3 linked regions of the Sus scrofa genome follow. The protein of the gene in region 1 interacts with the protein of each later gene in a biochemical or structural test. Links are inferred from orthologs where the notes say so. Each region holds a gene or a part of one and is shown in the gene's direction. Other genes may lie near its edges.

The links.
Region 2: of the proteins of PRKAA1 (region 1) and RACK1, one has a biochemical effect on the other in vitro, tested with the Homo sapiens proteins (2 studies listed by BioGRID). The link is inferred for Sus scrofa from reciprocal best matches to the Homo sapiens genes PRKAA1 and RACK1.
Region 3: the proteins of PRKAA1 (region 1) and CFTR form a complex in vitro, tested with the Homo sapiens proteins (2 studies listed by BioGRID, with this or other methods). The link is inferred for Sus scrofa from reciprocal best matches to the Homo sapiens genes PRKAA1 and CFTR.

What each region holds. Positions count from the first base shown.
Region 1 is NC_010458.4:25,750,054-25,752,619, reverse strand, and holds part of PRKAA1 (5'-AMP-activated protein kinase catalytic subunit alpha-1), read left to right. Parts: intron 1-669; coding exon 670-1,156; intron 1,157-1,267; coding exon 1,268-1,394; intron 1,395-2,566. UniProt on the Homo sapiens protein: Catalytic subunit of AMP-activated protein kinase (AMPK), an energy sensor protein kinase that plays a key role in regulating cellular energy metabolism.
Region 2 is NC_010444.4:57,278,666-57,283,082, forward strand, and holds the start of RACK1 (receptor of activated protein C kinase 1), read left to right. Parts: upstream 1-1,526; 5' UTR 1,527-1,613; coding exon 1,614-1,722; intron 1,723-2,639; coding exon 2,640-2,811; intron 2,812-3,329; coding exon 3,330-3,477; intron 3,478-3,710; coding exon 3,711-3,806; intron 3,807-4,353; coding exon 4,354-4,417. UniProt on the Homo sapiens protein: Scaffolding protein involved in the recruitment, assembly and/or regulation of a variety of signaling molecules. Interacts with a wide variety of proteins and plays a role in many cellular processes.
Region 3 is NC_010460.4:28,759,110-28,762,763, reverse strand, and holds part of CFTR (cystic fibrosis transmembrane conductance regulator), read left to right. Parts: intron 1-1,184; coding exon 1,185-1,274; intron 1,275-2,164; coding exon 2,165-2,328; intron 2,329-3,654. UniProt on the Homo sapiens protein: Epithelial ion channel that plays an important role in the regulation of epithelial ion and water transport and fluid homeostasis. Mediates the transport of chloride ions across the cell membrane.

The sequences.
Region 1 (2,566 bases):
CCGACTAGGAACCATGAGGTTTTGGGTTCAATCCCTGGCCTTGCTCAGTGGGTTAAGGATCTGGCATTGCTGTGAGCTGTGATGTAGGTCACAGACACAGCTCGGATCTCAGGTTGCTGTGACTCTGGTGTAGGCTGGCGGCTACAGCTCTGATTAGACCCCCTAGCCTGGGACCCTCCATATGCCCCTAGAAAAGACAAAAAAAAAAAAAAAGAGTTAAAAAAAAAAGAGGTGAGATGATGTTATGAAGTGTTGAAGTGCACATACCAAGCACTCAATGAATAATAGTTGTCTTTTTTTGTTATGTATTTTTTTCACTTAATATCTTAATATTACATTCAAAGAGTATTATAAAGAAGCTGGATGTAAGATGATCTTTGCCATTTGTTTATCATTACCATCTGTTCCAAAACTTTAAATAAAAGTGTAGACACTTTTTTGGTTGCTACAGCAGTGTTTTCTCCCTTTTAAAATCAGAGGAAGGCTGGAGCATTTCTCCCAATATATACAATGAAATGTGATCCTGAAGAGGAAAATCTCAGTTTTAAAAAGTGATAATACAGTATGAGTATAACTATAAATGAATTCATATCCTAAATCCTCAAATTGTGGCTTTTAGTCTCATCTCTCCTCAAAATCCTTCTCGTGACCTCTGACATTTTCTCTCAGGGAACATGAATGGTTTAAACAGGACCTTCCAAAATATCTCTTTCCTGAGGATCCATCGTATAGTTCAACCATGATTGATGATGAAGCCTTAAAAGAAGTATGTGAAAAATTTGAATGCTCAGAAGAGGAGGTTCTCAGCTGCCTTTATAACAGAAATCACCAGGACCCTTTGGCAGTTGCCTACCACCTTATAATAGATAACAGGAGAATAATGAATGAGGCCAAAGATTTTTACTTGGCAACAAGCCCACCTGATTCTTTTCTTGATGATCACCATTTGACTCGGCCCCATCCTGAAAGAGTACCGTTTTTGGTTGCTGAAACTCCAAGGGCACGCCATACCCTTGATGAATTAAATCCACAAAAATCCAAACACCAAGGTGTAAGGAAAGCAAAATGGCATTTGGGAATTAGAAGTCAAAGTCGACCCAATGATATCATGGCAGAAGTTTGTAGAGCAATTAAACAACTGGATTATGAGTGGAAGGTAAGAACGAGCATTCTGCTGTTGTTAGCACATTTAGTCAAACCTTTAGTCTGTGAGATGCTTTATAGAAAAATTGCTTTTGACTTTGTTTTTGTCCATGCCATATGCTAGGTTGTAAATCCATATTATTTGCGTGTTCGAAGGAAGAATCCTGTGACAAGTACATACTCCAAAATGAGTCTACAATTATACCAAGTGGATAGTAGGACGTACTTATTGGATTTCCGTAGTATTGATGGTATGTACATCACACAAAACAACGTAGATGACATAAGAGACCTTGTTACCTAATTTGGCGTTTTAGTAAATCTTTGATTCTTTTGAAGCTTGTTGAGTTGTTCCTTGTAATTTAATAGCAAAAGAACATAAAATGTGAGATTTTGTGCCTTTGTCATGTCAGCATTTGTGAGTCTTGTGAATAGTGTACTGTACTTTTAATATTATCTTCTTATAAAATCCTTAAAGCTTGATACAGCCTAATCCTAAAGTGATAGTTCCTGCTGCATTTCCTGGAACTGAAGCACTCTGTGTCCCAGATAGCCATTGTAATTAGCTAAAGGCAACATTGTTAACCTTAAACATTAAACATTTTAGGTACATGTCTATTTACGTGCAGTCGTAAATAGTCATAGATAACCTGATTCAAATCACTATTTCAAATCACTGAAATAGTAAAAATTTTTAAAGTTAGGTATTTTAATTGGTTGTCAAAATAATGACCCTTCTCTACTATGAGAATTTAAAATATGTCTGTGAGTTTTATTAAAGAAACATTATATTGTTTTACAGTTTTAATAGTTTAAAAATGAAAAATCTGTACTTAGAAAATACATCTCTGATTACCATTATTTGTAGTTTGCCAGAATATCTTCTTCTCAACTAGATTGGTTGAGGTAAATAATTGCAGAAAGCTGAAAGGGATTTTTTGTTGTTATTTTTATGTTAAGTGGGACAAATATCTTATATACCAAGGTATATATGAATAAACTATAACAGACCTCTAATAAATGGTGCAAGATCATACCACAGTTTGAAATTTATATTAATTCACATTTCCCATGCAAAACACTCTAAAACCTAATTTACCTTATTTATTAAAAAGCCTGATGGAACAACTTGACTTGTAATTCAAGTAAATACGTACTTATTCTTTTTCTCTACTTCAGCATTATAAAGAGGTATAGCTGTATATACATAAATGGTCTCCCACAGAGCCTTTAATTAAGTAGAAGTTTATGGCAGTTCTTCACTGGCCATATCAATTGAATTAAGATATGTTGCCACTTTTGTTCATTTAAGATTATATGGGATTATTAGATGAGATTCAGTTATGAGTTTTTTGTCTTCTTTTTAAACTCAAAGATAGTACCTATGTAGTTATCAGGCACAGATTTGAAGAATGATATGTTG
Region 2 (4,417 bases), on another chromosome or scaffold:
CGTGGCTGCAGAGGAAAGCAGGGGTCTGCAGGGGCAGCAGGAGAGTAGCTGCTCTCAAGCGAGGAAATTCCGGCCCTCTTTGCACACCTGAGCGGCCACAGCCAACAGCAGCTTCGCCATTACCCCTGCCTTCCTTCTCAAAGGCAGGCTTTCTGGTTGGGGTTTCCGCGGTCCTTCCCCCAGCCTGCAAGGCCCTCTGTCAGCTCCCCCGCCCCACCTCCATCTCATTATTCCGACCCTCCGTCCTAAGCGCTTCCAACGCTCCAGCTCAGGACTTTTATCACTGACCCTTCCCTCCGACTTTCTCTATATGTAACCATTGACTGGGACATTACATCATCATAAATCCACGGGGTTCTCTCCCAGATCTTCCTGTCTTTGTTAAAGTCTCCCCTTCAAGCTCTCTTCTCTCCAGCGCATTGACTGTAAACTTAAAAACAAACTAAACCTGGTCCCTTTCTTCCTCTTCAGAGATATATCCCCAAGATCTAAAATAAAGAGTCTGGTACTCAAATGTTAAGTTGGGCGCATTCACTCTGCCAGCCACTTTTTTGGGCATTTTACCTGTCTTAACTCATTTACTCTCCACAATACCTTAGGAGGTAGGTACTATTACTCCCAAACTCGTTTGACTGATAAGAAATTAAGTTAATACAAGTTACAAACAGGAAATACTTGGGCACGCCTAGGACCACCGCCCCCCCCCCCCGCCCCAGACCCACGGCCCTTCCATGAGGTGGCTTGGCCAGGAGCTGGTTTTGACCCGAGCCCACATTAAGTCAGAACCCACAGGTCCTTCCTCTTAGGACCGCTCAGTTTCCGCGAGAGCTCTCCGCGCTCTTGCCGAGGCAGGAGTGGGGTGACTGCCCAGCAGCCCACATAAGGATTTTTCCTTCATCCTCGGTTTTCCGCTCCATAACCCATTTCTGCCTTAGTCCTGGCTGAACTCAGTCTTTCTGGGCATGGAGTTCCTCAGCCAAAAACATCAGAGCATAAACCTCTCCAGAGAAGAGTCGTCCCCCGCGCATGTATATCTGTTAGAGTTTAATAGTTCACCTTAGCACAGTTTATTTTTAAAACTTAACACCGGATTTTTTACATTGCCCACCGTTACTCACAGTTGCGGCCTCGATATTAAACGCCCTCTGTGTTGCTCTCAGAGCCACGAAGCGGAAGGGGCGGGGTTCGCGCGGTGCGACCTACGGGAAGCGAAGGCGCTAGGCTATCCTTACGGGAATGGGGCGAGCACTTCCCGTCTTCCGCTTTTTAGACATCATTCCCTAATCAACCTTTGAGGAGCCTTTTAAAATACTCTGGCGTGTCGGTTTTGGAATTCATTTTTACAGTGCTGCCAAATTAGGTCGCGCGGAGCAGGGAACCATCAGGTCTTATTTTGCTTCCTCCCGGGCACTATGTAGTGCCGCCATCTTGAGCAGGAGTGCATTGTGGGAGGGCACCATTTTTCCGGAGAGGGAGGGTATTTCCGGTTCCGGCATGCCACTGCTCGGTCTTTTCCTCAGCCGGGCCTCGGCGTGAGAGGCCGTGCAGGTCGTCTCTCTGAGCTATCCGGTACCATCCTCGTCGCTCCGGCGACATCTGCATCTGCTGCCGCCATGACTGAACAGATGACTCTCCGTGGCACCCTCAAGGGCCATAACGGCTGGGTGACCCAGATTGCTACCACTCCCCAGTTCCCGGACATGATACTGTCCGCTTCTCGAGGTACGGACTGAGGTGCGGTGTAGAGGATACGGGAGTAGGGGATTGCGCACGTTGTATGGCTGGGCCAGTAGACCGCCAAGTAGCGGCCCTGAAAATTCGGTTAGGGTGTGAGCTGACCCGTGCGTAAGGCCTCAGCGTGGTTAAACCCTTGAGGCGTCCCCACTTTGCAGACTGCGAAACATAGACCACCCAGTAGCTGCCAGGAGGGGGTTGGGGACTTCTTTTAAATCTCTGGCCGACTTATCTAAGTGGATGTGTGCCCAGGAGCCTCGGGGCCGGACGGGGCGGTGATGATTCCAACATGCCATCTGAGTGCCCATGCTGAAACCCAGAGGCTGTTTCTGAGCTGCCGCCCGGCCCTCTACTCGGTTGGAAGTGGAGTGATTGCAATGTCAACGTGTGCCGATTTTGCCCTCGGTTTTTCCTCATTCTCTTTGTATATGACTGCGTTTGGGGTTTTAATCAGAAAGTTTGTTGAGTAGAACGCATTGAAGTGAAAGAACCCAGTCCTGTAGAGCCTAAAGTGACTTCTAATTTCAGAACTTCTGGAGGCCCCAGCAGTAGTCTCTGGAGGCTCACAGCTAGTTTTCTCTCACCTAGAGTGCTGTACCCATCCATTAGAACTCAGAAAAAAACTTGAAATAGACGTTGAGTTGGTGCGAATATCTGTAAAAGGCATCCATAATCTGGAAAAGTTCCAAACACCTGAGTTAAATTCTCATAGCTTTTTCACTCTTGACCATTTGGCCCTGACTGGGAACTGCTTTCATAACCTGTAGTTCCCCTACCCCTTTAATGTACTTAACTTGTGAGCCCGTCAATCACCTTGAGGTATCCTGGATTATCTAGTAGGTCAGAAGATGGGCTGCGGGATTTCTCAGTGGCTTTCCTCTGTTTTTTTTTTTACCTCCTCTTAGACAAGACCATCATCATGTGGAAGCTGACCAGAGATGAGACCAATTATGGAATCCCACAGCGTGCTCTTCGGGGTCACTCCCACTTTGTTAGTGACGTGGTCATCTCCTCAGATGGCCAGTTTGCCCTCTCGGGCTCCTGGGATGGAACCCTTCGCCTCTGGGATCTCACAACGCAAGTACCTGTTTGGGGGCATTGGGGGAAAGCTGGGTAGAAATGAGGTAGATACTTTCTGGAAGTAGTTTCCCAGGAGAGATCAGGTTCACTGTGTAAGAGAATATCTGGAAAAGAGTTCTGGTTGTTTGGCCTGCCTCCTTATTTGTTATTATGCAAAATTTCTGTGAAGTGGTTTGGTTGAGCAGTTTTTTCAGGTACTGCACTAGGGAGTGGGCAACAGTTTGAACCTGTTGTATATTGGGAGCTCAGTCTTTGGTTGGTCAGGCATAATGGAGGATCCTGGTGATGACCAATGACATTGTCAGCCAATCCCCACATGGGAATGAGGACATGTCCTGCAATTCTGAAGGGATTCTCTTGCATATTCCAGCCAAGGGCCTGCTGTTACCAAACCATGTCCAGGGTTGTGTGAGTAGTGCAGCTCCATTGGGACAGGAACCAGCCTAGGGAAACAGTTATGACTGGGAGAATATTTGCAAAGTCCATCCATAGTGTAACCAAGTCCTCCCTCTCAGGGGCACCACCACGCGCCGATTTGTAGGCCATACTAAGGATGTGCTGAGTGTGGCCTTCTCCTCTGACAACCGACAAATTGTCTCTGGCTCCCGAGATAAAACCATCAAGCTATGGAATACTCTGGGTGTGTGCAAATACACTGTCCAGGTAAAGTGAGGGCACACGCAGGGAACACATGTTGAACATTTTCTCCCATCCTTTTGGCTTTATGTGGTGATTTCAAGCCTCTTTGGGGATCTAAAGCAATTCTGTCAATCTTGATTGAGGGTTTGGGTTCTGGGGGTGTGAACACAAGGCTATCAAAATATATCCCTGTAACTGAGGGAAGGGTTGGTGATCTAGAGTTGCTTAGTATCTTATTTTCCTTCCATCCTTTGCAGGATGAGAGCCACTCAGAGTGGGTGTCTTGTGTCCGCTTCTCACCCAACAGCAGCAATCCCATTATTGTTTCCTGTGGCTGGGACAAGCTGGTCAAGGTGAGCTTGGAGCCAGGGTGTAGGGCCTTTATACCAACCCCCACTGCCTCCCAATTAGTTGGTCATAGCTCCAGCTTTGAAAGCTGTGTCCCTCAATTGACCTTTATCCTCTTGATATTTTCTCAGTATAGGTCATTACTTTTTTATATATATTCTGAAGTAGCTAATTGGTAAATTAGTGTCCCTTGGTGGCAACACAAATCATTTATTTCTGGGGCGGGGGGAAATGTTTATTTTTTGGCCATGGAAGTTCTGGGGCCAGGAATCCATGCCACAGTAGCAACTTGAGCCACGTCAGTGCCAGTGCCATTGCCAGATCCTTAACCCACTGCGCCACCAGGAAAACTCCCAATTCCAATTTCCAGTTTTAATCTTACTATTCTTAAGTGCTCAGGACAAATTCTTTGACCTTTTTTGTTACTTATAGAATTGAAATTGGCTTCCCTGTTCAGGAATGCTTTTAAACATTGTGCTATGCCTTTTATTTGGCCTGAGCCCTCTTGGCAGATCCAGGGCCAGGTTTTTCACCTGTGACCCACGATCTTAGGTATGGAACTTGGCTAACTGCAAGCTGAAAACCAATCACATCGGCCACACAGGCTACCTGAACA
Region 3 (3,654 bases), on another chromosome or scaffold:
AAGCATTATGTTTAATAAATCTTAGTAATAATCCCTGAAGCCATGAATAGTGATTTTCGTCTCCTAAGTGTTCAATACTGAGAGATTCAGTTGAAGCAAATACTAAATGGGCACTTTCCAATCAAAGCCATCTAATGGCAAATCAATTCTTATTAGATTTTACAGGCAAAGTATGACTGTGCTCTTTCATTATCATAATTAATTTATCTACTTAATGATTAATTCTGTGTATATGGATATATTTTTCTTTGCAAAATTTAAGAATTTTTTTATTGTTAAAGTAATTTTTCACAAAATTATTAATGAATCAATTATTTATATTTTATTGACTTGAACAGTAATTTTATTCAACAGTTTCTATAAGACTGCATGAAAAATTTAGGACCAAGATTTTCTTTTTTTTTTTTTTGTCTTTTCTAGCGCCTCACCCACGGCATATGGAGGTTCCCAGGCTAGGGGTCTAATCAGAGTTGTTGCTGCCAGCCTATGCCAGAGCCACAGCAACATAGGATCTGAGCCGCTTCTGCAACCTACACCGTAGCTCACAGCAATGCCAGATCCTTTACCCACTGAATGAGGCCAGGGATTGAACCCACAAGCCCATGGTTCCTAGTCCAATTCATTAACCACTGAGCTACGATGGGAACTCCAGGAACAAGGTTTTATTAAAAGATTTTTTTTTTTTTTTAATTGAAGCAGTTGTTTCATAAGATTGTGTTAGTTTCAGGAATACAGCAAAGTGATTGAATATATGCATATATATTATTTTTTTCTATTTTTTTTCATTGTAGGTTATCAGAAGTTCCCTGTAAGGCCAAGATTTTAATCTCAAGTTTCACTGCCTTTGATTCCATCTTTTATTAAAAACAAACAAACAAACAAAAAAAACTTTCACAGTATATAATTGGGTGTTTGAGTATAATTTTATTCCCATTTTGGAGTATGAAAAAATAATTACTACTTTCAGGATACTGTAACATAAAATAAGTAAAGCCATGCCAGTGTAATATTCATTGTAAAGAGAAATATTTATAAATTTGAGAAGATACTAAGCTAGGTGAACATAAAACAATTTTCATTACCTTTACATAAAAATTCATGCAGAGTCACCTAATATATCATTACTTCTAAATATACTTGTCTACTGTTCATTGACATCTTCTAACTTCCTATTTTCCTTTTAGACTTTGAAGCTGTCAAGCCGTGTTCTAGATAAAATAAGTATTGGACAACTTGTTAGTCTCCTTTCCAACAACCTGAACAAGTTTGATGAAGTATGTACCTACTGATTTAATCTTTTATGCATCTTTGTTATAAATCATGCAACCTCAAAGATTTTCCTGGGTCAGATAACAGTAATTAAGTAGTTGGGTCATAAGCATCCCCACCTTCCCTGTTTTTGAAAACTGAGAAGGCTAAATTCTGTAGCAGAGTGCCATTCTGGGGTCTCACAGACCCACCCAGTTCAAGGGCACCTCAGCTGGCTTTGTATTTAGTGCGGTTTTCAAAATTCAATCCTTATCAGATCTTACTTCCTTTTAATGCTTTAAATTAATTATTTACTTTGGCTGAGGAAGATACTCTGAGTAACTCTTGTTCAGCGCTGCCTTTTGTCGCAATAAAATACAAGATCTTTGAAGACAGATTCTGTGTTTTATTTATCGTCACATTTCCAGGATTTAATGCAATATTGAACCCTTCAGCAGGTGTTAAGTAAATTACTGTTGAATGGCGCATGCGTGTGCGAATATACTGTCTGATGACAAGAGTTGTGCCATTGTGTGGACTGAACTCCTGGAGAGTTTTTGTTCTCTCATGTTCTGTGTCATGGCTCTTAACTTTATCCAAATAGAAGTAAACTATTTAAAATAAATTCTTGACATGATACTTCAGATAGCCATTCACCACACAGTTCCTCTGAAAAAAAATCACGGCAACTTGAATTTTGTTTTTTGGGGAACTCGTAGCCCCTGCGTGGAATGTTTCAGCACATTGCTGTGTGCTCCAGTCATGAATAGCCACATTTTAGTGCATTCAGAACCATGAAGTGCTTGTTTGTGTGACCTCGCTGTGCTTGATTTCTTTCTTGGAGGCTTGTTTTGGGCTTTGTGTTGGGAGTGGAGGATGAATTGACGGTGCATTTCACCGTGACTTTATTTTTCAGGGACTTGCCTTGGCGCACTTCGTGTGGATCGCTCCTCTGCAAGTGACGCTGCTGATGGGGCTGCTGTGGGAGTTGTTGCAGGCCTCCGCCTTCTGTGGACTTGCCTTCCTCGTAGTCCTCGCCCTCTTTCAAGCTGGGTTGGGGAAAATGATGATGAAGTACAGGTAGCACTCTGTTTACTTAGCTTGAAAGGGTTTAGACATTCCGTTTTCCCAAAGCCCACTTTAGTAAAACCAGAACTGCTCTATGTACTGAACTGTCATCTACTTCTTGGGTGCCACAAAAAAGGAATTATTTTCATGATGTAAATAGTATTTCCTTTTTTTTTTTTTTTTTTGTCTTTTTGTCTTTTCTAGGGCTGCACCCATGGCATATGGAGAATTCCCAGGCTAGGGGTCGAATCGGAGTTGTAGCTGCTGACCTACGCCAGAGCCATGGCAATGCAGGATTCGAGCCGCGTCTGTGACCTACACCACAGCTCACAGCAATGCCAGATCCTTAACCCACTAAGTGAGGCCAGGGATCAAACCTGCAACCTCATGGTTCCTTGTCGGATGCGTTAACCACTGAGCCACAACGGGAACTCCCCCTTAAATAGTATTTCTGTGTCGTATCGGTGGGACATTTTCTTTTCTTATCGGTCTGTAGAATTTCTTTATGAATACGTTACTATCCAGTTCCCTTTTTTTTCACATCAAAGATTTAGGTACAATGGAGTTCCCATTGTGGCACCGTGGTTAACGAATCCAACTAGGAACCATGAGGTTGTGGGTTCGATCCCTGGCCTTGCTCAGTGGGTTAAGGAACTGGTGTTGCCGTGAGCTGTGGTGTAGGTTGCAGACATGACTCAGATCCTGTGTTGCTGTGGCTCTGGTGAAGGCCGGTGGCTACAGCTCCAATTAGACCCCTAGCCTGGGAACCTCCATATGCCGAGGGAGTGGCTCAAGAAAAGGCAAAAAGACATTAAAAAAAAAAAAAAAAAAAGGCTTAGGTACAATGGATAAAACACTTAAGTGAATGGAAGGGAACGCATATATTTTGGGTAGAGTTTATAGACTGTTTCTATACTCTGGCTCCGGAGTCATCACAGCAGAACCTTAGTTGCTTTTTGTTACAAAATGAATCAGTAATACTAATTACTGCCTGTGAAAGAGGACTTCTACAGTTTGCCAGATTGAGTAAGATAGAAAGTGTATAGATTTTGGAATCAGATGGTTCAAAGCTTGAATCCCAATTGCACGCTTTCTAGTTAGATGACCTGTGTCAAGCTACTTCAGCCACTGTTTCTGGGTTTTTTTTTTCTGTCTTTAAAATGGAGGTAATTATCTCCTTTAGCTGTAGGAAGGATTAGGCCTAGTGTGTGAAATGCATCTCATGCAGTGCCTGGCATGTAGGAGGCATTTATTAAATGACACTTACAATTTTTGTTACTATTTATTTGATATCCATCTGTTTCATAGAAGAAAGGAGGCTTGTCTTAAAAGCTTGGG